Linked DNA regions of Nothobranchius furzeri. The protein of the gene in region 2 interacts with the protein of the main gene of each other region in a pairwise test. Links are inferred from orthologs where the notes say so. Each region holds a gene or a part of one and is shown on either strand. Other genes may lie near its edges.

Region 1 (4,310 bases), on a different chromosome or scaffold from region 2:
ACTAAAGCTTGTCTGAGACTGCAGCAATGGCTCCAAACCGACTATTTTAGGCAGCAAAATCACTACTTATTAGATTATTTGGGGCATAAACTACAAATAAGGGAATTAATTCTTTTTTAATTACAATCCACTAAAAAGGATTTATGTGTGCACCTCGATCGGCCCTTCTCTCTCTGATGAGAACTCTAAAGGATCTGCTGCTTTGAAGATAAGCGCTGCAGGTCTGCAATAAACAATGATTGTGCTGTTTCTTTCCTGTGGTGTGATTTATTTAAAGTGTTATGCTGTAAGAATTTGGGCTGGTTTTTCCTGGCTGGGCTACGTATATGTGTGTGAGGATGTGTGTGTGTGTCCTTGATCGTAGATTCAGGAAAACACTCACATTAAGTCAAACCTTTGACATTTAAAGTGGAATATTTATCTTAAATCTGGCTTTGTTGTTTAAAAAAAGCTTAAATCCAACAGCAGCAACTCTAAAGATAAAATCTGAGTTGTTTATAATTTTGACATTTAAATCTAAAAAAATGAATTTAATGAAGAAAATGGAATTTTCTTCAGGTTGTAAACATTAAAGAAAATCTGCTGATTTCATAAATGACTTGATGGGGTTTGCCCTCCACCAAGGGTGGGGGAGGGGGGGTTGTGAGGAGGGGATATGAATCTTTTGACCCCCCCACACCAGGATACAGCTGCCTATGACTAATTTCTAATTCCCCCCTACAGCCTATGCAACCCATTTCACGGGTTACACACATCGCCAGGCACCTGTTTCCTGTTTTCATTCTTTGAGTTATCTTATTTTCCTTATTTCCCTCTCACCTGTTCCAGTTCACGTTCCTTCCATCATGCAGCTTGTGCTCCGACACGAGACCGTACAATACTCACTTGTAAAGAAAAAAACCTGCTGCATATATGTAAGTGGTAACAACCTGAATACTTCCAATGAACTTTAATCATAATACTAATAATTGTCATATTTATGAAAAAAAACTGTGTTTTTCTGATTTTGTTGGCCACAGATCGCCTCCAACACCTACGAACTGTAATATTTCAAAAGTTTCTCATCTGTCGGTTTCAGAATCTTCTTCTCCGGCATGTTAACGACCCAGCCTGGAGAGAGGCCAAAGAAGATCTGTCGAACATCCTTCCTTGTGGCAAGCATGTCACAAAGTTCATCCTTTGAAATATCTGGCAGCGCATAGCCGTACTTCTGTGCCAGGGCACGCCGGGCCTGCTGGATGTCTTCCAGATCTGCTAAGTAACCCCGGTTTTCAGCACTCGTGTAGTACGGGACCATGTCCTCTCCTGGCAGCATCCGCTTTGGGATTGGCTGGCCCCTCACGAAGAACGGGACGGGCTTGATCAGGATCCCTGAGGAAAAGAGCAGATCCTCAACCCTTTCATCAACAATCTTCAAATAAAACTCACGTATTACGGTTTCATAAAAACCCATTAGCTACCGAGACTTATGGGATCGTAGAAACTGGTGGTGATGACGCCTCCGTTCTTCTCGATAGCAGCTATGGCTCCTTCAGTTGCTCTCTGAACCTCAATGTTGATTTTGGCTGCAAATATGTCAGCTCCCTGAAAAATAAAATGCATTCTAGTTAAAATGGGAGAGTGAAAAATCAGGGAAAAGGAAGCAGCAGTTTAATGACAAAACTGTCATGTGGTGTCACCTGCTGGTCAGAGTTATTATTGGTGTTAATTTAGAAAACATCACACATCCATAACACTATACACATTTTCTCCCCTCTGAATGAATAATTGTGTTATTTTGATGCTTTTGACCTCCATCCTAGCAGGCTGAGCTGAAGTTTACCTCATCCACCAGCTGGACTCCGTAGTGCCTCTTCAGAGGTTGGATGGTCACTCCTCTGGCATTGACCAGCTGGGTCAGATCTATGGGCTGAGCCGGGTCCACTCGGCCCAGATCAATCAGGTACTGGAGTCGTTTCAGGGTCAGGGGCATGTACTGTGGACGCCGGCTAGGAAGAACAAATAAAACAGAAAAATAACATGACTTAACTCCCTATCCTGTTTGTGATGTATTTTCTGTGTAGTGCAAAAATGCTTTAAGGGTGATAGAACAGTTTTATAAGCTGGTGGGTTACACAGAAATATCAAAAATTAGCCCAGAATTAAGCTATTTATGAGTTCTGCTGCCTAATAAACGTACTGCTTTGTGATCTTTAGATTTTTAAATGATAACTTCCTGATCTACTGATGTGTGACAGATGTAAACCACGGTGACGAGTTTGCACCTGTGTCCTTCGTTGAAACCATATTTTGGTATAACCAGATAGAAGGGGGTCTGCCCTCCCTCGAAGCCCAGCCGGGGTCTGTTCCCCCTCTGCCGCTCTCCTTTGTGACCTCGGCCGCTCCTGTTACCGCCGTGCTGTCCTCTACCTCGTCGTCTCCCCTGCAGACCATTTAAACCACATAAGGTTATTTATCACGTTTACTAACCTCCATCTCTATTCAGATGCTAGTCATGTTAGCATCAGTGCTAATGTAGCCCACGAGACCGGATCAAACGTACCCACTTCCAGGATCCTGGCTCAGGTCGTAGGTTTGCTAAAGTGATCCGCGGCAAATTCTGTAAAACATCCAAAGCTTTACTGCCGGTTTTCTTAGTAACAGACATGTTTCTGCAGCTCACATGTTAAAGTTAGCAAACCAAGGGCAAACTAATCACGTGACTCCACCACACCGGAAGCTATTTCACGGTGGAGTGATGTTTCAAAATAAAGGCACGATACTTGGAATGTCTGGAAAAAAGTGAAGTTTGTATGCATTTCAATATATGAAATATAGCAATTTTAAATGACCGTTTACTTCATTTCTGAGCAACACTAGCTAAAAAAAATGTACAAGGTCTCATGAAAAAGTTGCTGCCGTATTGTAATGTTGCCACTAGATGACGACAAATCACAAGAAAGACCAATCAATGAGATTGGAAGAAAAATTATTATTGATTATTTTAAAATATGCTAAAACATTCCACTTTTAAAAACTATTTATAAATACTATTTAACAATATTTTTTCCGTATTTTCTTTGAATTTATTATATTTTATTGCTAATAAAACAAAATAAAATTATTAAATATACAATAAAACAATTATCAGCAATACAGAAAACAACAACAATAACAGCATGTTATAGTTTATGTGCGAACCTCAAACTGACATTTAAGCGGACCAGTGGCTGATCGGCAGTTAATTGGGGTGCTTTTGAGAACCAATCACTTAAATCAAAGGGCGGGGCTACAAATCCTGTCACAGCAGCTGGCATGGTGTGCTGCTAGCAGCTTCTGTCAGTCAGTGCCACGACTAATTTCTGTCTAAACTAAACTCCCAGAAAGGACAGGACAAGAGACGGTGAAGCGTTGACCTCCATCGTCTGACGGAGCTCGTTCTTCAGTTGCTGTGTATCTGGAGGCCTTCACTTTTGTGTTATATTGCTGTTAGCTACGAAGAGCTAACTTGTTAGCTAACTTGTCCAGCTGCCTCAGCGCTGTATGTGCGGCAACAACATGTCAGCTCCTTTACCTACCATTGTGCCTGCTGCCCGAAAAGCCACTGCAGCGGTGAGCTGTCAGCTCATTTAGTGCTTTTTAGATCAAATCCCAAACATTAGCATGGAACTGCTAGAAATCAGAAGCTGTCGAAATGTGATATGTGTGAACCTCTGTCAGTGAAAATAAGTGTTATTGTTATTTATAGGTCATATTTCTGCATGGCCTTGGAGATACGGGGTGAGTAAAGTAATTAAGTCATTTTTTTGCATTCACACTGCTTTGTCTGTTTAATTAGCCGTTTTATACTGGTTGTTTTGGGTGAAACCTGACAGGCATGGCTGGGCAGAGGCTTTTGCAGGCATCAGAATACCACATGTGAAATACATCTGTCCTCATGCGTAAGTATTTAAGGTTCACAACGCAAGTATTTGATGAGAAAAGTCTGATTTCAAAGCCTGAGTCAAGATTTATGCAGCTTGCTGTTACAATGTCCCTTATCCACAGCCCCACGATGCCCGTCTCTTTGAACATGAGGATGTCCATGCCTTCTTGGTGGGTGATGCAGTTTAAACACACATTTCCGATGACTTCAGTCATTTCCAAATCCTGCACATAATGATTCTGCTGCGTATTTTCTGATTTAAAGGTTTGATATTTATGGGTTGAGCCCTGATGCAAATGAAGATGAGGCTGGCATCAAAAGAGCATCAGAGAACCGTAAATAAATGTAGAAATCTTTGTGCTTTTATTTTTAAAGTTTATTTTTTAAATTATTTTTTTATTTCTCT
Region 2 (5,053 bases):
TCACACCTGAGACACCGGGAGACACACAACCCAAACAACACATCAAACTTCATTTAGACAGCAGACAAACATTTAGGTCAGTTTTAAATGAATTCATCTCAACCAGCAGGCAAGCTCTTATGTGTTTTTGTGCAAGAAAAGCAGAGCAGATGGTTATCCACATATAGAAAAGGGTAACTATTGCTTAGGCTACTTAGACATGTTTATGAAAATTGATTTTCTAATTTGAAAACAAAGCCATAGTCAACTATTAAAACCCAGAAATGATCATGTAGTTAATGAGTGTTACCATAGCTCTTGGGCAGCCAGTAATACACGGTGGACAGAGTCAGGAGGCTCTTCAGGATAGACTCTGATAACTTCTCAGCATCCTGCAGTACAACAAAGTTTACATGACAGCCTGAATCATGAAGGACTGAGAAACGATAGGAAGATAAACATATACGACTGAAAAGTTTGAAAGAACATCTAGCTCAGGTTTTAAACATTTTAATAAACAGATTGTGAATAGGAAATCGCTGAGTGGCACATGTCAGCATAAATGTGCAGTTTCCGGGTCTGCAGCCTTGTACCATTGAGGAATTCTTATGGGTGGAGACAGGACTTCATCAAATCCAAATGCCCTTTTACTGGGTTGAAGGGATGGCTTAAAAAATAAAATTCTATTTCAGAAATGATGACAACTTAATCGTGCCAATGGTAACATTTTATCATATACTGTGCCGACAGTTGTTCTGGAAGGTGTAAAATAACATGATACAGTCCCTTTACGTTTTGTGTGAATAATAACTTATAACAACAAACAAACTAACCTGTAAAGAGGGGAGCGGAGGTCTGGAGAAGGCTAGGCTGAGTTTAGTGGCTTCCTGGGACACTGCCTTTACTGCTTGGTCTGATTACAAACAACAGTTAGATAGATTAAATTTTTGATTATATAGTATAGATGACAGTGTCCTAATGTCAGAAATAATAGTAAGTCAGATAGAGCTGATGAGCAAAAGAGACTTGCCTTAATAGGTAACGTTCACATTATGTACTCAACAGTGCAAGATCGTTGATACAAAAAAAAACATGAAAAATCTTTTGTAAAAAAAATTGAAAACCTTAATATTGACAAATGAGATAATTGCTTTGTGCTACAGAAAATGGCCTAAGACACATATGTCAGACACAAGGCCCACGGGCCAGATGTGGCCCGCGGAGCATTTTTATGTGGCCCGTGAGATAAATATCAAAGATGTATTAAAACTGACCCACTGGTCGATTTTACCGCAAAGACTACAACTCCCATGATGCTTTGCAGCATTAGAGCAGAGCCGAAGCGCCCCCTCCTTTGTGTTTCTTCCAGCGTCTGCTGCCGGTGTCTGCAGCTCCGCTGTCTCGGACAAACTAAACACTCCTCTCACTCAGCGCCAAGTTAATCTCAGCCATTTGCCGACGTTGAAGCCCAGAAACTGAGATTTTAACCGCTCAGTAATGTGTTCACGACTGAAAGAGAAAGTTTTCCAACCAACTTCCAGACAGAGCTGATATAACTCCAGCGAGCGACACGCTCAAATCGGCATGACTCTGTGGCTGCTGTAGTTTTTATTTTTCCTCCCCAACACACAACAACGTGGTCAAGCTGCTCAGACGCTCTCCAAGTTCAGCAGCACAAACCTATGTGAGCACCTGTTGTCATCTAATGTTGTCATTATTATGATGAAGTCTCCTCCTCAGCTCAGAGCTCCTCAACCCCATGATGGCTGGAACAGGTGAGCATCACAGTAAATCAGTGGACCAAACTGAGCTTTACATATTTTGGTTTTATGCTCTCTTTCTGCTCCAAAACATGAAAGTTAGCAGGTGAGATATTGCATTTCATTTAAGATAAAATTATACTTTTATGTTGTTGTTGGCCCGTGAGAAAAGATTTAACCTACAGTAAAACAGGAACTGGAAAGGCTGCAGATGGATGAATAGAATAGAAAATCCTTTTATTGTTCCTCAGTGGGGAAAGCTAGACGTCACAGCAGCGATGACACTTATTACAGGAGGAAAAAAAGGAGAATAACAAATAAAAATGAACAAACAACAAGAAAACATAAATCCTTAATAGATTTTAAAAATGTTGAATATACCACAAGTAATGAAAATCACTGATGTGTTTCATTTCAAATTGACTGGCTCATGTGTAAATTGGTTGCTCCACATTCAGAGTTAATGCAAAAATAAGTTTGTTTCCAAATTTTAAAGTTTAAAATTGCATTTATGTTGAAAAAGAAAATGTGCAAATTTGCCATCACTTTTTCAAAAAATATTAAGTTTGGCTTGCAACTTCGTCCCAGATTTTCATTTTGGCCCAGTGTGAATTTGAGTTTGACACCCCGGACCTAAGAAAAAGAGTCAAGGAGTTGAACGTGTGGCAGGAGGAGAATTCTCATATACTCAACTCAAAGTGTCCCAGAAGTTAGAAAGGTTGAAATCTCCATCTGATTCATTTGACTCTCCATCTGCAGAGAAAATCAAAGGTTGTAATTACACTTTTAAACATGTGTTTTGTGATTATGTTGCTTCTATCTGGAAGCTGCTTTAGGTCAGACCAAATGTTTCATTGAGGTAAAAGTAAAAAGGTTATTTATTTACGTTGTATAACCCTAGCCCAAACAACAACAACAACAACAAAACACTTAAATGGAAATATATGAAATTATATACAGGATAACCTTCAGTTTGGTTTACTGCCAATACATTTCTGAGGAATGAGGTCTCTTACTACAGTCACTGGGAATGACACGTTACAGAATCCACTACATCAATTTCTCATAAGGATCATTCAGCTGGCCAACTTGCTTTTTTAAGCTACAGGTTTATTATATGTTTGGTTTTCGCAGAATTTGAGGGGCTTTTACGTAGCAACGAAACCTGTCTGGCTCAATAAGATAACGGTGGATGGCTAGATGACGCGTGACAATGTATCCCTGCTTGGCATTTGAAAAGTTACTTTCTCATTTTATTTGTCTTTAGTGGGCTGTTTAAAAGGCGACTGCACCGTTTTCCGTTTTAAGTTGTTTTAAATGCAGCCAACTATACACATTAAACAACAAAGACTGTTGCTAGCTTGGCACTAACACTGGCATACTGAGTTTTTTTAATGAGGTAAGAAATGTGTCTTAAATTTACCTCTGACTCGGTCTCTGATACACTGAATGGAGTTCAAAGCATTTCGTAAAGGTACGGACAAACTCCCGTTGATATTATCAGCACTCATGACGACGAAGTTTGAGGAAAAGCGTTAGCAATGCTGCGCTAACACGAGTGTTGTGGAACTACAGAAGCCCGGAACGTGGATCCGGGGAATATAATAAGCGAAACAATCAATCCCCCGGAAGCAGAAGAATAAAATGCGGTGAAATTGTTTACAGTGAAAACCACAGATACTGTATATATTCTTCCACTCCCTGAGCATATTTAATCTTCACTAAATATGAAACTACAACACTCTTCATACCTGGACTTGATTTTTCTGAAATGACAACATTAGGCTTAAATCCTTAGGCTTATATTTATGTCGATGATGCTTAAAACTAATGATTTTTTTTAATGTTTAAAAAGTGCGTTTTCAGCACAAAGATTGCATCTGAATTACATTGGAACATGTGTAGCTTAACAAGTACAACACTTAGATTCTTCAAATCTGGACTAGATTGTTCTATATTAATAGCAGAGTCCTTGAAATATAGTTGGTGGTTTGTGAAACCTAATGGGTGTATTTAATAAACCCATGCACATAAGAAACAGTGTTCATTACATTCATATAAAATGGCAAAAAGGTCATAAAACTTGGACTGTAGCCAATCAAAAAACTAAAATTGCCAATAGCCCCGCTTTAAATCCACAACAAAAAATCCAGTTTGGCCTATGGGAGAGCAGGGAAACCGCAGAAAGTCCCGTCCTTGTTTCCTGTTGAATTTTGTGACAAGTCTGTAGTTACCATCCAAAAAAGATTAAAAGACGAGGTTAAAGTTCATCTGTGAAATTGCTATTGTGAACTGTACGCAAATCAAAATAACGTAAAATTATAAAGTTGCTTAAACGTTTTCCATCAATAAATAGTTAGCACCGTTTTAAAATTATTTTGAAATTCACTACCGGAAGTTAGCTTTGTTTTGTAACTTAACTTGCGATGATCCATTTAATTGCAACCTGGGTCTAAAGTGACAGACAGTAAGTTTGAAACCACATATTTTCGCGTTTAGAGCACTAATTCTAAATAGTGTTCTCTTTTTTTAACGCTGGGGTTAGGTGGCTGAACTGCTTTGTTGATTTGGTCGCAGCCAACGTGTTGGTGTTGACGGAGGTCAGCAGGTCTTCGCCGAACCCAGCCTGCCGAGATGCTTTCCCCGGGAAGGACCGTGTCCTCCAGGCTTCTGAGGCCCGCCTCTTGGTTTCCTTTTCGGCTGGGCTGTGAGCGGTCCGTCGCCAGCTCCAAGCAGAAAGGTAACAGCATAACGGAACACACTGGCCTCTTCGTTTTCCTATGAGTATCTAGCATTAAGCTAATCCCAAAGTGACGCACTTTGCTGGGGTGACGAGAAACTTCACAACACCTACTGTGTGTTAAGTCCAGGTCAAATCAAGTAACGTGGAGCGTGTGTTGGGTTAGAGCTGGGACAGTGCATCCTCATCAATAAAGTATTTAATGACTTTAAAACTGAAGTAATATAAAATAATAACTAATAGTTTTGATTATTAATAACTGATATTATTGCTAGATTGATTGTAATCATATTCAGCCAAATGAAAGACAAAAAGCACAATGGGCAAAGCTGTTACAGAAACAATAGACTAGTTAACTTCAGATAACGCTCCGCTGTCCAGCACAGGAACAGAAAACATTTCAGATGAGCTGAGAAGTATCAAAGTCCAGAGTTTATAGTTTCCTTTTTAGAAAACATACACTACAATTTGGAAAACATAATTAATCTGGATAGATTATTATTAATCTAGACATTTCTTGCAGAAATGTTGTTTGACTCTGCCTACTTGGCTACTATGGAAACCATTCCTGTGA
Region 3 (5,057 bases), on a different chromosome or scaffold from region 2:
AAGCCCCCGTCAAGGAACATCATTTCTATGTCTATGGGGAGCGTAACATAGTAGATGCTTTTTAATTTCTCTCCCATCAGGAGCGTTTCTGATCAACAGCAAATGCGTTCCACGCTGCTGGTCATGTAAGGTCACAAGATCACCGGAGAGTTGCAAGTTCCCGTCTGTCTGTCCGTCTGTTGGCACCAAAACAAGCAAGCATGCATCTAAAAGCTCTGGTTTATTTTCGGGTTACTTTAACAAAGGAAGTGTCACAGATGACGTTTGTTTCTTCAGTAAGTTAGGTGACTGGAAATCTGCAGGTGTCTTTCATTTTCAAGTTTACCAGATGTGCTGTACTGCCCCAGTGTATTATTTTCTGTCTGTTCTGATCTGACACTCCGTGGCTAATGCTGGCTTTATGCTAACACACCTCCACAGCCATCTTGACTCATTAAAGTCAATCCATTCCATAAAATATGAGCAGGAGACAAAGTTAGTAGCCAGTGATTTCTCCTACATAAAACATTTATATAACTGATGAAAAGAACACGCCATATAATAACCGTTTAGATCATTTCGGAGGGGAAAAACATCAACTTCTGTTGGCAATTTTAGAAATACCAAGAGATGTGCAACTTAAATGATATTGTTTTTGTTTGTAGAAACATAACTTAGCTTTATTAAGATAAAACAAGTGGTGCTCGCTGCAGAACCACAAAGGTGGAGCTGCACCAGAGTCAGCCCCACCCATTCCATCAGAGTCAGTCCAATTCCTTCCAGTTGTCAGACTTAATAGCATTCTGGAACCAAAGAGGGTGTTATAGCTAATATCATCTAAAATGCAAGATTGAGGATGGAGTTGAGAAGTTAATTGAACAGTTTTTGTAAAGCTTCCATATAATTAAAAATCGAACTTTTGGGACTTTTTACCATGTTATATTGTCATTTCCTCATAAGAAACACGCCGAAGCCATTTTTGGCCTCATTCATGCATTTACCCCCCATCTCAGCTCCAATTTGGTCTCCTCCCCCAAAGCGGGTCTGGTCTTGGTTCTCAAATCTGGATATTCTGTGAATTTTCTGAAAAATTATTTCTGAAATAACTTCTACTGAGACACCGCCGGACTTATGTTAAGCATAATTCTGCGCACACGAAGACGCATAAGACCCTGGATGATGGCGCTCAATGGTTAAAGGAATCACGGAAGCGGTGTGATGCGCTCCGTTGCGCGTCTAGACGGTACCGTAGGAGGCGAGCTGCCATGGTTTGCCGCATGCTACAGGAGCGGGCTATCTAGGAGTGCACAGCGTCCCCCGGTCCCCTCCTCCTCCCTGTCCGGAACTCGACCTCACCAGTATGAAGCAGCCACCTTGTCCGTAACAAGTCCAGACCTGTTACTAGGGGCATCGTCCGGTTTAATTACGGAAAACGTTATCCGGATGTTTGTATTCAGACACAAAGGTCTTACGGACAGAGTCCTGAACATTTCTGTTTTTCATGGCCTGTCTGAAGGGGGCTCAACTTGCTCGGTTAGTTTTTACTTGTTTCTCTTTTCTCTCTTATCTTAGTGCTTTTATTTGTTAACTTTTAATTTTATGCTTTGCTTTTATGTGCGTTAAGTGTTTTTAGCTTTACATTTTACTCCTATGCTGTCTTTGTTGCTGTGTTTTAGTCTTTCGCTCTCCTGTACAGCACTTCGGTTAGCTGCCACTCTATTTTTAAATGTGCTTTAGAAATGAACTGGTATGGTATTAGGGTACTGTACATAATCCCCTACAGCACCTGATTATTAAGCAACAGGTCGTGAAACTTCACTACAACATAGAAGTTTATATGTTTCCATTTATTTTTACATTACAAATGTTGGCACTGTAAAGCTCCGTTTTGCTGTCAGTAGTTGCTTATCAGCATTAATTAAAGATGGTCTTAAATAATCAAGATCTCAATTTCAGTCAAAATACAGCAGCCCTAGAACCCATTATTATGAGCCGACTGTATTTTTACATCTTTATATTTTGAACTTGAACCACAAACCTGCAAAACCCTGGTCTGGATTCTTCTTCTTTTTCTTCCTCTCCCATCGTTCAGCCTCATCAGCTGTGACTTCCAGTAGCTTCACTCTGTCATAATCCTTGCCAGAGGCGGCACATTCCTTAAGAAATTTTTAATAACCATCAAAGCATGAAATACCATTCTTATATCTTTTAAATCTTACATTTTATTTAATTAATCTAGGTATTTCACTAATGTTTGTGTATTAAACACACTTTTATGGTACAGATTTCATGACATTATTTTTGATAAGTCAAGGCAGATGCAGAAATAGACCAACTCTGGGATGACCAATCAATGCAGGATAAAGCAACCCAACACAAAAGATTAAATACATTATAAAAGCAATAACAAAAGCTTGACTTTTCAAACAAAAGCTATTCTTTTAGAATGGTTTGATAAAATGATTTAGTGTGGTCAATAAATCAGATGGCAAACAAAAAAATAAAAATACCTTCTTCTTTTCACTCTCAGCAATTTCCCACTCCAGTCGGGCTTTTTTAGCTTCCCAGTTGGCAGGAAGTTTCAGTCTCTTATCCTCCTCCACAACCTCCTGCTGATTCAGCTTTCGTGCTTCGTTCTGCAGTAAAAACGAACAGATAAATAAATATTTACAAGCAGGTTAATCTACTTTACAATGATCTAATCCCGAAATGCTCATATTATTTTCCGAGTTATTATAACACAACAAAATATACAGTCGCTATGTGATCGTTAGGCATGCCATCACTACACACAACACTGTTTATATGTAGAAAAACAACCAACCCGTTTGAAATGTAACTCTCTGAATTTACGAAGTCTCGCTTCTCTCTTCTCGGAAGCCAAAGTTTCGGCCGGTTCTGCTTCAGTAGCCGTGGCGGTTCCCTGTATGAAAGAGCAAATTAACACAATTTACAAGAAATAAAATCTCATTTATGCTATTTTATGACCGACGGTGTTAGTCCGATATGTTGTTTGTTAGCACACATGCTAACGAGGAACAGCTTGTAAAAAAAACAACGAAGTTTATGCAACAGGAATGAAGCTTTGACAATAACTGAAGGAGAAACACGTTTCTAAAAAGGTGTACATCAACGGAGTCGTTATCACCTTAAAATATATCAGCTTTAGTAAATAAGCAAAATACCAACCTCGTCACAGGACGCCATTGTTATTCTGGCCTGAGAAAGCTGAGCGGAAATACGTCATTAGCACCGGATATAGAATCAAAACAAAATAAAAGCTTACAAAAACAAACAAAATTATTTTTCTTGCCTTGAAATATTTTAATATTTTATCCTTAAGGCAAAACACATATTTCCTTTTAATGACGATTTATATGTATTACTATATTTTCTTCATGGTTCATAGCACAAAAGCACAGTCAATGCTCAAAGAGCTGACAAAGCTTTTTTGTGGGAAAATAGTGCAACACACTTAGATCACGGGGTGTTTTCCAGAATTTGCCACCCATTTGTTGGTGGTTCTGTGCTTAAATCAGCAATTAAAGATGTTATTTTTGAGCTGCTCTTTATCTGATTTGAGGACCCAAACACAGAAGGTCAGTTTGTACATTTTTATTAAGTAAATGATTGTCACACAAGAGCAAGTCAAATTACAATTTCCAGGAACCAAAATCCTATCAGAAATGTAGCATTTGACCAAACTGATTGCTATGAAATTGGAAAAACTCTGGAAAATGTTTTGGAATGAAGAAGTAATTTGGTTGTATTCTAACGTTAGGAATACATGTGAAAATGTATGACTAACTTTTGAAGTTTTTAGTTACAGCCTACACCCGTTTTTAGAGGTCCAAATGACATTAGGCAAGCAAACAGTAATCAGTTTAAATCCAAGAAATTGCTCCTGCCAGATGTAATAAAATCCTCCCTAAGTGTTCCTGAGATATTATGTCTTAACAAATGGGAGTGACAGACAAGCTGGAAAACAGCTTTCAGTCTCTGACACAAAGGTATGTAAAGTTTATTCATTTCATTGACATTTAAATGCAACAGAACCAGCAGAAACTTTACTACATTTCATCAAATAACCCTCATAAATCAAGAAAAGACATATCAACACAAATACAGTCAATCCTCAGGTGGTTTTATTCTGCATGACTCAACTGGAGCAGAACTCACATATAAAATATGAATATTCTCTAAGTATGTTCATATCTATAGGAGTTTCTTTGACATTCACCGAGGATTTAACTGCACACGTTTGTCATCAGACCCCAAAATAAAAAAATAAGTTGTGATACCAAAAATAAATTAGCCTTTTTGTGCCATGATTTCAAAAGTCGCTGCCAGGCATTTTGTGTTTTACTGAAACATCTTTGTAAACAATTTCAAACCACCCATCTTGCTTCATTTTGATGTTGAAATGCATTGAAAAGTCTTGCCAAACTGTATTGGAAACTGGAATGACACGCACAGGCAGCAATTATGAATAAGACTGGAGGTTATAAAAGAGATGCATAAAAGGTCAAGCATAAAGTCATCAGTTACCGCACACAGAGTTGGGTCTGACTCTCTTAAACTAATTAGCTATGGTTGTTTTGCTGCAAAGAAACCAAATGTTGAAAACATTTTTTTCCCTTTTGCCCACAAACACACAAGTATCAATCAAGGATTTTGAGGACAGAACTTCCAAAATACGATTTATTTTTTTATCTGATCAGAGGACAAAGGTAAACACTTTCAAGAGCCATCTGAGCATGTTTGACTTGCCAAAATGGATGTGCTCCCCGTTTGATTGCATTATACTAATCGAGCTCCTTCGGAGGATGTAATTAAGTGGAGTTTATAGTCTTAGATTAAAGCATCCTCTAGATCACAGGCAATGGTAATGGAGTGATGCATTTTCACTGGAAACCAGATGGGAGCACATCACAACAGTTCAAAACATCACCGGGTGCAGTAATGGGCACAGCTAGGCTACTAGCATGCAAAAAGCAAAACATCCTCATAAGGAATGACTGACTAAGTCACAAGGAAGTGACTGATATAAGGAAGAGGATGAAGAAAACAAGCATTTC
Region 4 (4,751 bases), on a different chromosome or scaffold from region 2:
GAAATTTAATTACTTTATATTTTATAAATAATGGCTTAGATGGAGCTGTACTATGAGTGTTGTCTATAATTCTCATTGCTCTTTTCTGCAAAACAAACAAAGGTTGTGTATACGTTCTATATGCAGTTCCCCAGATTTCTACACAATAATTTAAGTATGGCAGAATCAGTGCATTGTATAGTAATAACAATCCTTCACTATTTAGTACAAACTTTACACTATATAATACTGCAACGACTTTGGCCATTTTACCTTTTATATAGCCTATATGTGATTTCCAGCTTAGAGCTTCATCAATCATTACTCCCAGTCATTTGACAGTGTTGTTAAAACATGAAAATATGTTGAAAAAAGTCAGATTAAAGTTCAAAGTGGGTCCAAAGCTAATTTCTATGATTGTTGGAGAACCGTTTCAGCTAAGCTAATGCCTTTTCCAGGAAGCATTTACTCCCACCTCTAACAAACCCTAACCCCAATGCTGCTGCAAAGGTCCAGCTCAAGACGCGGTTCTGAGCATTTACTTCCTCTGCTGCACAACAACAGAAGACAAGTTTGAGATCACTTGAATAAACTTTCCTCAGACGTTCCTGCAGCCTCTAAAGCCTAATTCATGCTTCTCCCTCAGCGTCCCGAGGGAGAGACGCACGGACGGAGATGTTTTGCCCTCAGACTTCTCCGTTTTCTGACCCTGTTTTGTACGTAAGCAAGCTTGATATATGAGACCCCTGGTCTACAGGGCCTTACATGGACAAGCACCATCTTACATTGGTGATCTTCTTAGTCCCTACACCCCCAGCAGGTCCCTGAGGTCCAGTGATCAAAGCCTACTGGTTGTGCAGCACCAGGCTAAAGGTCAAAGGTGACAGATCATCTGCTGCTGTGGCCCCCAGACTCTGGACCTCTCTCCCCCTGCGCCTGAGATCAGTGGACTCAGTGGTCTCCTTCAAAAAGCAGCTGAAGACTCACCTGTTCAGGCTTTTGCGTGACCTTCATCACCACCCTCTCCTTATTCTGCTCTTTATACCCATTACGCCCTTCTCAGTGTTCCAACTAACCATGCTACTCGTTGATATGTGCTACTTTGGGGAAATGCACATGCACAGACCGATCACAGGCTGTTTCCCTAAAGAGACGCGCTACCTCTGGAAGTTTCTGCTTGTTGTAGGTTTACCTGACAGCTTGTAAAATATCATTATACTGTGAAGTAATTTCTCCCATAGTTTACCATCATTCATGACAAACTGTCTTTTTCATAAAAAAATCACGACAAACATTGTAAATTGTTGCTAATAATTATACTACAGTTCTGTATTTTTGAGTAATATTACCTATTTAAAATAAAACGTGCTTAATAAGTGCGTTATTATACTGTAAACAAGAGCAAAACTGTCGTAACATGATGCAGTAGGAATATTCCACGAGGAAGCAGGGATAGTCAGAACACCCTCATGGACGTCCATCTTTCCTATTAATTTTCTCTCTGTTTTCTTACATTTTTAAATCATAATTGTTTTTTTCTAATCTTAAACATGTCTTTAAATAATTTCAATAAATGTTTTTCATATTTTAAATTTCGCTATAAAAGACAGTTTTCTTTCTTTCGTTCACACCGCTTGGTGGCAGTAATGCGCCATCTTGTTGTTTGTCAACCGCCAATAAAAATCCAGAAGAAGCCACAGAAGAACACGTGTTTCCGGTTTGAGTAGCTGCAGTTGGCAAGCCGCTAATAAACAGTAGAAATGGTTCGTAAATTGAAACACCATGAGCAGAAGCTGCTGAAGAAGGTGGACTTTATTAACTGGGAGGTGGACAACAACCTTCACGAGGTCAAGGTGCTGCGGAGGTATCATATCGAGAAGCGGGAGGACTACATGAAGTAAGCTAGCTGCTAAACCTACCTGATATTTATCTTTATATAATTAGATAGTTTAGACAGTGTTCACTCGTTAAATCACAGACTGTATGAAGCTAATTTAACGCTAATGTTCAGAAAGCACGCTGTCCACTGAGGTGGACATGTAATAAATTATTTGTAAATGATTAAATGTTTGTTGAAGTTTGTTTCATTCACACCTAAAGATGAATGAAAAAAATTGTTTAAAAAATCATGGTTGAAGATTTCATAATTCATGCATCAAAGGGTTCCCTTTTTCTGTAAATTTGTGTGCAACAGTGTTGTTAATGATTTGATCTATTTAAAAATACTTATAATTAAAAGAATGAACACGATTTAAACGTTTATTGTGGGTAAATTTGTGTGCAAGATAAAACAGCGTTTTTTAATGATTTTTGATTAAAAAATTCTTTAATTGAAAAGAATAAACATGATTTAAACTCTTTTTGTAAAATTGCGTGCAAGATAAAACTGCGTTTTTTTATTTATTTAAAAATACTTTTAATTAAAAGAATAAACACAATTTAAACATCCCTTCTTTTTTTTTGTAAAATTGTTGGCAAGGTAAAACCCATCAAGTACTATGTCCTCCCCAATGTTCATAAAGATCTGATGTGGTATTTCAAAATAAAGTGCAATCAAAGTTGACTATAAAGACAATTTTCCCCATATTCAATGGTTTCTTTCTCTAAAAACAGTTTGATTGCGCTACATCATTCCACTTCAGTATTACAGTACACATTGAGTACTACATCCTCCCCGACTTTCATAAAGATGTGATGTGGCATTTCGAAATAAAGTGCAATCAAATTTGTCAATGACAATTTTCACTATATATATATATATATATAAATGTCACATCAGAATTAACGATGTACCCAAACAAGTTCATTTAACGATCATTCCTGAACTTGTTCCTTGTTTTATTTTTGAGTGTAAACCAAACTCACGAATTTTGCCTGGGGGGGGGGGGGGGGGGTGTTTACGGTTAACCATGCATTGACTCATTTGCTGTGTCTGGTTTTCTCCACACTTAGAATTACGGCCGTACATCAGCACCTCACCTAACACACTATTGTAGGCGTGTTTTGTCGGAGCGGGCGTGGGCAGAGCTTTGCCAAAAATTAACCATTTCATTTCCGGGTGTAAATTCAGGGTGACGAAAATGACTCGTTTATAAGATAAATGACATCTCAGCAGTACAGCATCCATACAGCACAATGTCTCAATCCAGAATGACTTCCTATCTCTGGCTCCTTCAAAGGCAGTTGGAAATCTGGGTGTTGTGATTGATGAACACCTGACCTTTAAAGATCACGTTGCCTCTGTTGCTCGTTCATGCCGCTTTGCGCTGTATAACATACGAAAGATCAGACCATACCTAACATAACATGCCACCCAGCTCCTGGTGCAATCTACTGTCATCTCCCGCCTCGATTACTGCAACGCCCTTCTAACTGGTCTTCCAGCCTGGACTGTCAGACCTGTTCAGATGGTCCAGAACGCAGCGGCGCGTCTGGTCTTCAATCAGCCAAAAAGAGCACACGTCACCCCTCTGTTCATTGAGCTCCACTGGCTACCGCTAGCAGCACGCATCAAATTCAAATTGCTAACACTAGCATACAAAGTCCGAGACGGTACGGCTCCCATCTACCTGAATCCTCTTGCAAAGGCTTACGTCTCGGCCCGGCCGCTCCGGTCATCACAGGATGGTCGGCTAGCAGTGCCTACACCACGCTCAGGACAATCCAGACTCTTCTCATGCATCGTTCCACAAATGTGGAATGACCTACCAAGCACTACCAGAACAGGGGCTTCCTTTTCAATTTTCAAGAAACTCCTGAAGACCCTGCTCTTCAGAGAGCATCTTCTAAACTAGCACCCTCCCTGCACCCGTCCCCCCCTCTCTACTGTCCACTCCTTGTTCCCTCCTCTCCATGACTGATGTCAAGTTGTTGTTGTTGTTGTTAGCCTCAAGGGCAACATGCCGATTATCACTTGTAAGTCGCGTTGGACAAAAGCGTCTGCTAAATACATAAACATAGTACTAATGGTAGTATATTATGATGTACTGTGTCTACCTTTGCTCTCAGTGGTTTAAAATAGCAGGATATGGAACCTTTATGGGCTTCAATAACCGGTTAAAAATGTTTTGGGAAACGTGCGTCCCTATTATGTCTGTTTTTCCTGATCTTTTTAATTTGATGCTGGATGCTTAAATGAAGTTAAATAGAAACGTTTAGCTAACCGAGTGCTAAACTTGGCATGGGCACAACCTGCAGCAGCAGCCTGGAGTGGTGGTGTTTACGGCAGCGCTACCCTGGCTGAACATTTCTGCTAGAGGAGCTTTAAACCCTATTTATTTTGCTCAGGTACAACAAGCTGAGTCGCAGCATCAGAAATCTGGCTCAGAAGATTCGAGACCTGGATGAGAAGGATGGCTTCAGAGCTCAGAGTACGCACCACCTGTTAGAAAAGCTGTAAGTTGCTCCTGTCGTGCTCACACAGAAACCAGTCTGTAACTCTAACATGGCCGCGCGTGTTTGTACCCGTTTACCTCGAACGCAGCTTTAGCTCCACCCACTGATGGTTTATGCTGGTGAAGGTTCTCACTCGGTCTTACAGGTCATGGTGATCCAAAAGGCAGCTGGACCTCTTAGGTTTCTTGGAGTCGTTTCACTTCTCGTCTGAGGAGCTTTGTCAATTCTAACTGGAATATAGGAGAGCTGTTGCTGTCTGTTGTTTTTAACGAGCAGAAACTACTCTGAGTACCCTACCTCTCTACCCCTGAGTTGTTGGCCTCTGTTGAGAGGGAGTCGTGTGGATTAGATGCAGGAAGGTGTGACCTAGACTGAAA
Region 5 (4,873 bases), on a different chromosome or scaffold from region 2:
AAAGTAAATATTGATGTATACAAATGTTTATATATTTTTTTAATTTTAAATATTTTTTAAAAATATGTTAAAACATAAAAAATATTTTTAAAGCTTAAAATGTAAGGAGGTGTTTATTTATATTTATTGTATATATTTTTTTATATTTTTTACAAATTAAATATGTCTTTTAAAATATAATTACATAATTACTATATTTAAGAACACAACCTTTACATTGGTTTAAGTGAAGGAGGTGTGTTTTTTCATACAGATTCCTTTTATTTAAAATGGTCTTTATACCTTTAGCATACCCCACAGCCTCCCCATCTCCAGGTTCTTCAGTATCAGAGTCTGAGGAGAGTGGGTCGTCCTCTCTGAGAGGTGGGATGATGCCATCAGCCTCAACGACAGCATCTTTCAGCAGCAGTGAGTCAAACTTTACGGTATAGAAACCACTGTCAAGTTCTAAGATGAGAGAAAACGGAAATAATAATTTCAAATGTATAATTATTGTGATCAAACTACATTTAGATGACATTTAACAAATTAAAACAAAATGTGATTGAGAGACCTTTTATTTTGGCGGGGTACCAGATACCATCCTCGTGCCGAGCCAAGCAGGACGAACCCTCTTCGAGGTTACCAAGGTCGCACTCCAAGAAGTCTCTGAGCTCCGACACAAACACCACTTCACCGTGAGAAAACCTGCAAAAGTGAGACGAGTTTCTGTAAGAAAACCATTCAGTTATTTATCACAACTTTCCTCTGACTGATAATAAAATCCCATTCGGAGCGATTCGGTTTTATCCGGGTAAAACAAAAGAATAACAACAAATGTAAAGGTGCAGAAGATTTTTTTTCTAAATAAAAGATGCTAAAATGATGAGAAGATTTTAAAAAATACACACATTGAACATTATTTTCTAAACTTGTGTGTGAATGTCCTTTACATTAATGTGACAAAACACAAATAATAAAAAAGCAACAGATGTTTGGTTTCTGCTTCCGGCTCTCGGAGGGTGCAGACGCTTTTCTTCTCCTCTCCTCCGTATCTTATCCTCAAAGCCTTTGTCTGTCCGCGTGTGCTGGGTGCACGGCTGCTTCTGCATTATTTTCTGGAAACTGAAATTCACTAAAATGGATCTCGTCAGCTGGTCTCTCAACGCGGTTGATACAATTTTTTCAACGACGAGAACGGGAGAAGGGACTCCCGGATGCCCCTCCGGGACAGACCAGCTGTCTGTGGAGGACTCTGAAGACGTGTGGATATTCGTGGTGTTGGTGTCAGGTTTCCTGCTCATTGGCCTTGGAGGCTACTTGGCTTACCGGAAAATTAACGAGCTGTCGAGGAATATTGGCCTGATCCCGGAGCTCAGAGATGGTTTGCACCGCAGTGAATTCAGACTCAAATAATTGTCGAGATGAATCGTAAGCTTGGGACTTTGGCGGAGATTCATTCTTTGGCACAAAAGATGGATGCCATCAAGGAGAGAGTGGACGAATCAGCACGGATTGGGATAGATTAACGTCCATTATTGGGATTCTGAGAGGTTGAGGACCAACAAATTGTAAGACAGAGAGGAAATTATCTCTGTCTGGCCCCAAAACAATTTCTAATCGGAATCTGGTGTCCTTGAGCCTGCAAGGCTCCACGAAAACTCCCCCCCCCCCCTCAGAAGATATGTGGAATGTGCCGTCGCTATGGCAACTCTACTCTGTCTCCTATCCCAGCCTGGGCGGGACAGCGGGAAGGCCGCTGAAACGTTCCAGGGTCACTGCAACCCTCCAACCCTCCAACCCTCAATGCTTCCCCCCCACCCCCCCCCCCCCCCCATCCACACTGAGGTGACATGCGCTGCTTATCGTGGCTGCAGGAAATGAAGTGGAGATAGTCCCAACCCACCACCCCACCTAGTGGACACTTATGTTGTGTTGTCTGAAGTCTGTTGCATATATGTTTGAGGGCAGCTCTGAAGTGCCTTTTTTTTCCTCCACCTGAACCAATCCTCATGTAACCCTCTTATCTCTGTTAACTCAGGGTTGCGAATGACCACAGTCACCAATTCTTGTCATGTCTCTTGCCCGTGTATGTCTGATCTCTGAATTGTGTGTACTGAAACTCTAATTTCCCTCTGGGATTAATAAAGCATCTTTGATTTGATTTTACCTGCAGTTATCCAGAAAGCGACATTTGTCTTCCAGGTAGAACGGACAGGGCTTCATAGATTTTTGGGTGGGGTAGATGTAGAGCACCCTGACTTGTGCCTCCTCTCCATCAGCAGCCGGTTCTGCCCCCACCACCATGGCATTGTGATACTCCAGCGTCCCCCATGTTGTCCTGTAAGGCGCCCTTACTTTGGTACCACTAAGATCATCTTCCTCCTCATCTTCCTCCTCATAATACACGCTCCCACTGTCCTTATCCTTCTCTCTGGTATCAGAGCTGCTGCCAGAACTTTCTCCTAGTTCAGAGTAAAACGCAGCAAATTCAGCATCAAAGACACCGGAATCAGCCGCTGCCTCTGAGGTGTTCATCTGAGGTCCGTTGCTGTCTTCTAGGCTGGACAGTAGCCGGCTTTTCTGTACAGATAAAAGGCTGGCTTCTGTTAGCGCTATCAGCTGGCAGAGGTCTTCTTTGAGCTTGAGCAGGTCTGGCTGCTGGCTGGGGTCCAGGCCAGCTGACAGGGCCATCTCCACCTGCTGCAGCTGGGCCCCATAGGCAGCGATGGCAGCCTCCAGGCTTTCTTCATCCATGCTGACAGCTTGGCACGAGCTGGGACAGCATCAACCGCCTCCAACAAGAGATGAAGAAGATGAACAAAAGGTGCAGAGGAACTACAGTGTCATTACATGTTTATACATTAATAGTACAAACAGATCAAAGACTACACTTCCAGATATTTGATGGATTACACAGAAAGAACAAGAATTTCAGACGTTTTCTCTGTGTGAAGCATATATTTATATTTAAATGAATGAGGCTCTTCATAGTAACCTCCCCATCCATCCTGCTAGCATGGGTTGTTTTAGCTGCTAGCCGTGTTTCCATAAACTCTGGTGAATATAAAGGTCGTGTCATTACCTCAGTGATTACTCGAGCTCTCTGACATCCACTGCAGCAATAAACGAGGTCACGTCTGCGGAAATCCTTGTTTTATTCATGTCAAAAAAGAAGCAAGTTGACACAAAACACAGCAGAATGACGTCAAAGCGGCAAACGCGAACAACAAGAGCACTTCCGGTAAAAATGTTTTCCTTTCAAAATAAAGTAGAAACAACTGTGGTCAGTCAGCAAGGTTAAAATAGTTTCTACATTCATCAGAGGTGTCAAAAACAATCACATTCGTTACTAATGAAGAATAGATAATAGGGTTTAACAAGAATTACGTTTTATCTAAAGCATCTTTCAAGGAACTCAAGGTCACTTTACAACAAAAATAATAGAAATCAAGTTAAAAACAAGCTAAACAAATCACTCATTAAATCCCCAGAAATTACAGAGCCAAAAGTCAGAAAGCAAAACAATAAAACTAACTCATAAATAGTATGCTGTCTTGGAGAGTTTAGATTTGAAAATGGAGAGGGGGTCAGAAATGCAGAAGTCTCACTTCAAGCATTTTACTCAAGTAAAAGCACTGGTTGCAAAACAGCTTAAAGTATAAAGTGAACACGTAATGTAAGTTAAAAAAAATGCCATTAAGGACAACAAAGACGCGCACATTACCACACCTTTTATAAAACAGGCCATTACTGACCATAATGATGGTATTTAATATAAAATGTCAAAAATTGACAAATTTGAGATACACTGGGCCTGTTTCAGCTGCATATATCCATCCATCCATCCATCTATTTTCATCCGCTTATCCAGAGTTGGGTCGCAGGGGCAGTAGCCTAAGGCAAGAGGCCCAGACTTCCCTCTCCCCAGCCACTTGGGCCAGCTCCTCCGAGGGGAATCCCAAGGTGTTCCCTGGCCAGGTGAGAGCCATAGTCCCTCCACCGTGTCCTGGGTCTACCTTTAGGTCTCCTCCCGGTTGGACGTGCCCGGAAAACCTCACCAGGGAGATGTCCAGGAGGCATCCTGACCAGATGACTGAGCCACCTCAACTGGCTCCTCTCAATGTGGAAGAGCAGCGGCTCTACTCCGAGCTCCTCCCGAATGACTGATCTTCTCACCCTATCTCTAAGGGAGAGCCCAGCCACTTTTCTGAGAAAACTCATTTCGGCCGCTTGGATCCGCGATCTCGTTTTATCGGTCACTACCCAAAGCTCACGACCATAGTTGAGGGTAGGAACGTAGATTGACCGGTAAATCGAGAGCTTTGCTTTCTGACTCGGCTCTCTCTTCACCACGACAGACCGGTACAACGCCCGCATCACTGCAGATGCAGCACCAATCCGCCTATCGATCTCACGCTCCAGTTTTCCCTCACTCATGAACAAGACCCCGAGATACTTCCACTTGGGGCAGGACCTCGTCCCTGACCCGGAGAAGGCATTCTACCCTTTTCCGAATCAAGACCATGGTCTCAGATTTAGAGGAGCTGATTCTCATCCCAGCTGCTTCACACTAGGCTGCGAACTGCTCCAGCGAAAGCTGAAGATCACATTCTGATGAAGCCAACAGGACCACATCATCTTCAAAAAGCAGAGACCTGATCCTCAGGCCACCAAAACGGATGCCCTCCACACCTTGGCTGCGCCTAAAAATCCTGTCCATAAAGGTTATGAACAGAATCGGTGACAAAGGGCAGCCTTGGTGGAGTCCTATTCTCACTGGGAACGAGCCCGACTCACTGCCGGCAATGTGGACCAAGCTCTGACACCGGTCATACAGGAACCTAACAGCCTGTATCAGAGGGCCTGGTACCCCATACTCCCGGAGTACCCT

What was found. The genes of interacting proteins can lie anywhere in the genome.
Region 1: the proteins of ccndbp1 (region 2) and mrpl15 interact in binary tests that used the Homo sapiens proteins (3 or more experiments, as listed by UniProt). The two-hybrid records come from large-scale screens. The link is inferred for Nothobranchius furzeri from reciprocal best matches to the Homo sapiens genes CCNDBP1 and MRPL15.
Region 3: the proteins of ccndbp1 (region 2) and syf2 interact in binary tests that used the Homo sapiens proteins (3 or more experiments, as listed by UniProt). The link is inferred for Nothobranchius furzeri from reciprocal best matches to the Homo sapiens genes CCNDBP1 and SYF2.
Region 4: the proteins of ccndbp1 (region 2) and imp3 interact in binary tests that used the Homo sapiens proteins (3 or more experiments, as listed by UniProt). The two-hybrid records come from large-scale screens. The link is inferred for Nothobranchius furzeri from reciprocal best matches to the Homo sapiens genes CCNDBP1 and IMP3.
Region 5: the proteins of ccndbp1 (region 2) and zgpat interact in binary tests that used the Homo sapiens proteins (3 or more experiments, as listed by UniProt). The two-hybrid records come from large-scale screens. The link is inferred for Nothobranchius furzeri from reciprocal best matches to the Homo sapiens genes CCNDBP1 and ZGPAT.

What each region holds. Positions count from the first base shown.
Region 1 is NC_091747.1:46,193,775-46,198,084, forward strand, and holds mrpl15 (large ribosomal subunit protein uL15m), read right to left. Parts: upstream 2,731-4,310; 5' UTR 2,648-2,730; coding exon 2,543-2,647; intron 2,423-2,542; coding exon 2,265-2,422; intron 1,989-2,264; coding exon 1,823-1,988; intron 1,585-1,822; coding exon 1,461-1,584; intron 1,372-1,460; coding exon 1,034-1,371; 3' UTR 935-1,033; downstream 1-934. Other genes in the region: lypla1 (acyl-protein thioesterase 1), read left to right, coding at 3,523-3,591, 3,728-3,759, 3,855-3,920, 4,027-4,074, 4,169-4,239.
Region 2 is NC_091743.1:73,303,811-73,308,863, forward strand, and holds the start of ccndbp1 (cyclin-D1-binding protein 1 homolog), read right to left. Parts: upstream 3,345-5,053; 5' UTR 3,251-3,344; coding exon 3,163-3,250; intron 2,493-3,162; coding exon 2,433-2,492; intron 893-2,432; coding exon 813-892; intron 372-812; coding exon 290-371; intron 7-289; coding exon 1-6. Other genes in the region: nfs1 (cysteine desulfurase), read left to right, coding at 4,374-4,479. UniProt on the Homo sapiens protein: May negatively regulate cell cycle progression. May act at least in part via inhibition of the cyclin-D1/CDK4 complex, thereby preventing phosphorylation of RB1 and blocking E2F-dependent transcription.
Region 3 is NC_091758.1:35,523,802-35,528,858, forward strand, and holds the start of syf2 (pre-mRNA-splicing factor syf2), read right to left. Parts: upstream 3,235-5,057; 5' UTR 3,187-3,234; coding exon 3,169-3,186; intron 2,903-3,168; coding exon 2,804-2,902; intron 2,616-2,803; coding exon 2,490-2,615; intron 2,136-2,489; coding exon 2,018-2,135; intron 1-2,017. UniProt on the Homo sapiens protein: Involved in pre-mRNA splicing as component of the spliceosome.
Region 4 is NC_091751.1:70,487,056-70,491,806, reverse strand, and holds the start of imp3 (U3 small nucleolar ribonucleoprotein protein IMP3), read left to right. Parts: upstream 1-1,517; 5' UTR 1,518-1,739; coding exon 1,740-1,876; intron 1,877-4,266; coding exon 4,267-4,374; intron 4,375-4,751. UniProt on the Homo sapiens protein: Component of the 60-80S U3 small nucleolar ribonucleoprotein (U3 snoRNP). Required for the early cleavages during pre-18S ribosomal RNA processing. Part of the small subunit (SSU) processome, first precursor of the small eukaryotic ribosomal subunit.
Region 5 is NC_091755.1:51,598,045-51,602,917, forward strand, and holds the start of zgpat (zinc finger CCCH-type with G patch domain-containing protein), read right to left. Parts: upstream 3,235-4,873; 5' UTR 3,065-3,234; intron 2,775-3,064; 5' UTR 2,737-2,774; coding exon 2,150-2,736; intron 688-2,149; coding exon 554-687; intron 448-553; coding exon 283-447; intron 1-282. UniProt on the Homo sapiens protein: Transcription repressor that specifically binds the 5'-GGAG[GA]A[GA]A-3' consensus sequence. Represses transcription by recruiting the chromatin multiprotein complex NuRD to target promoters.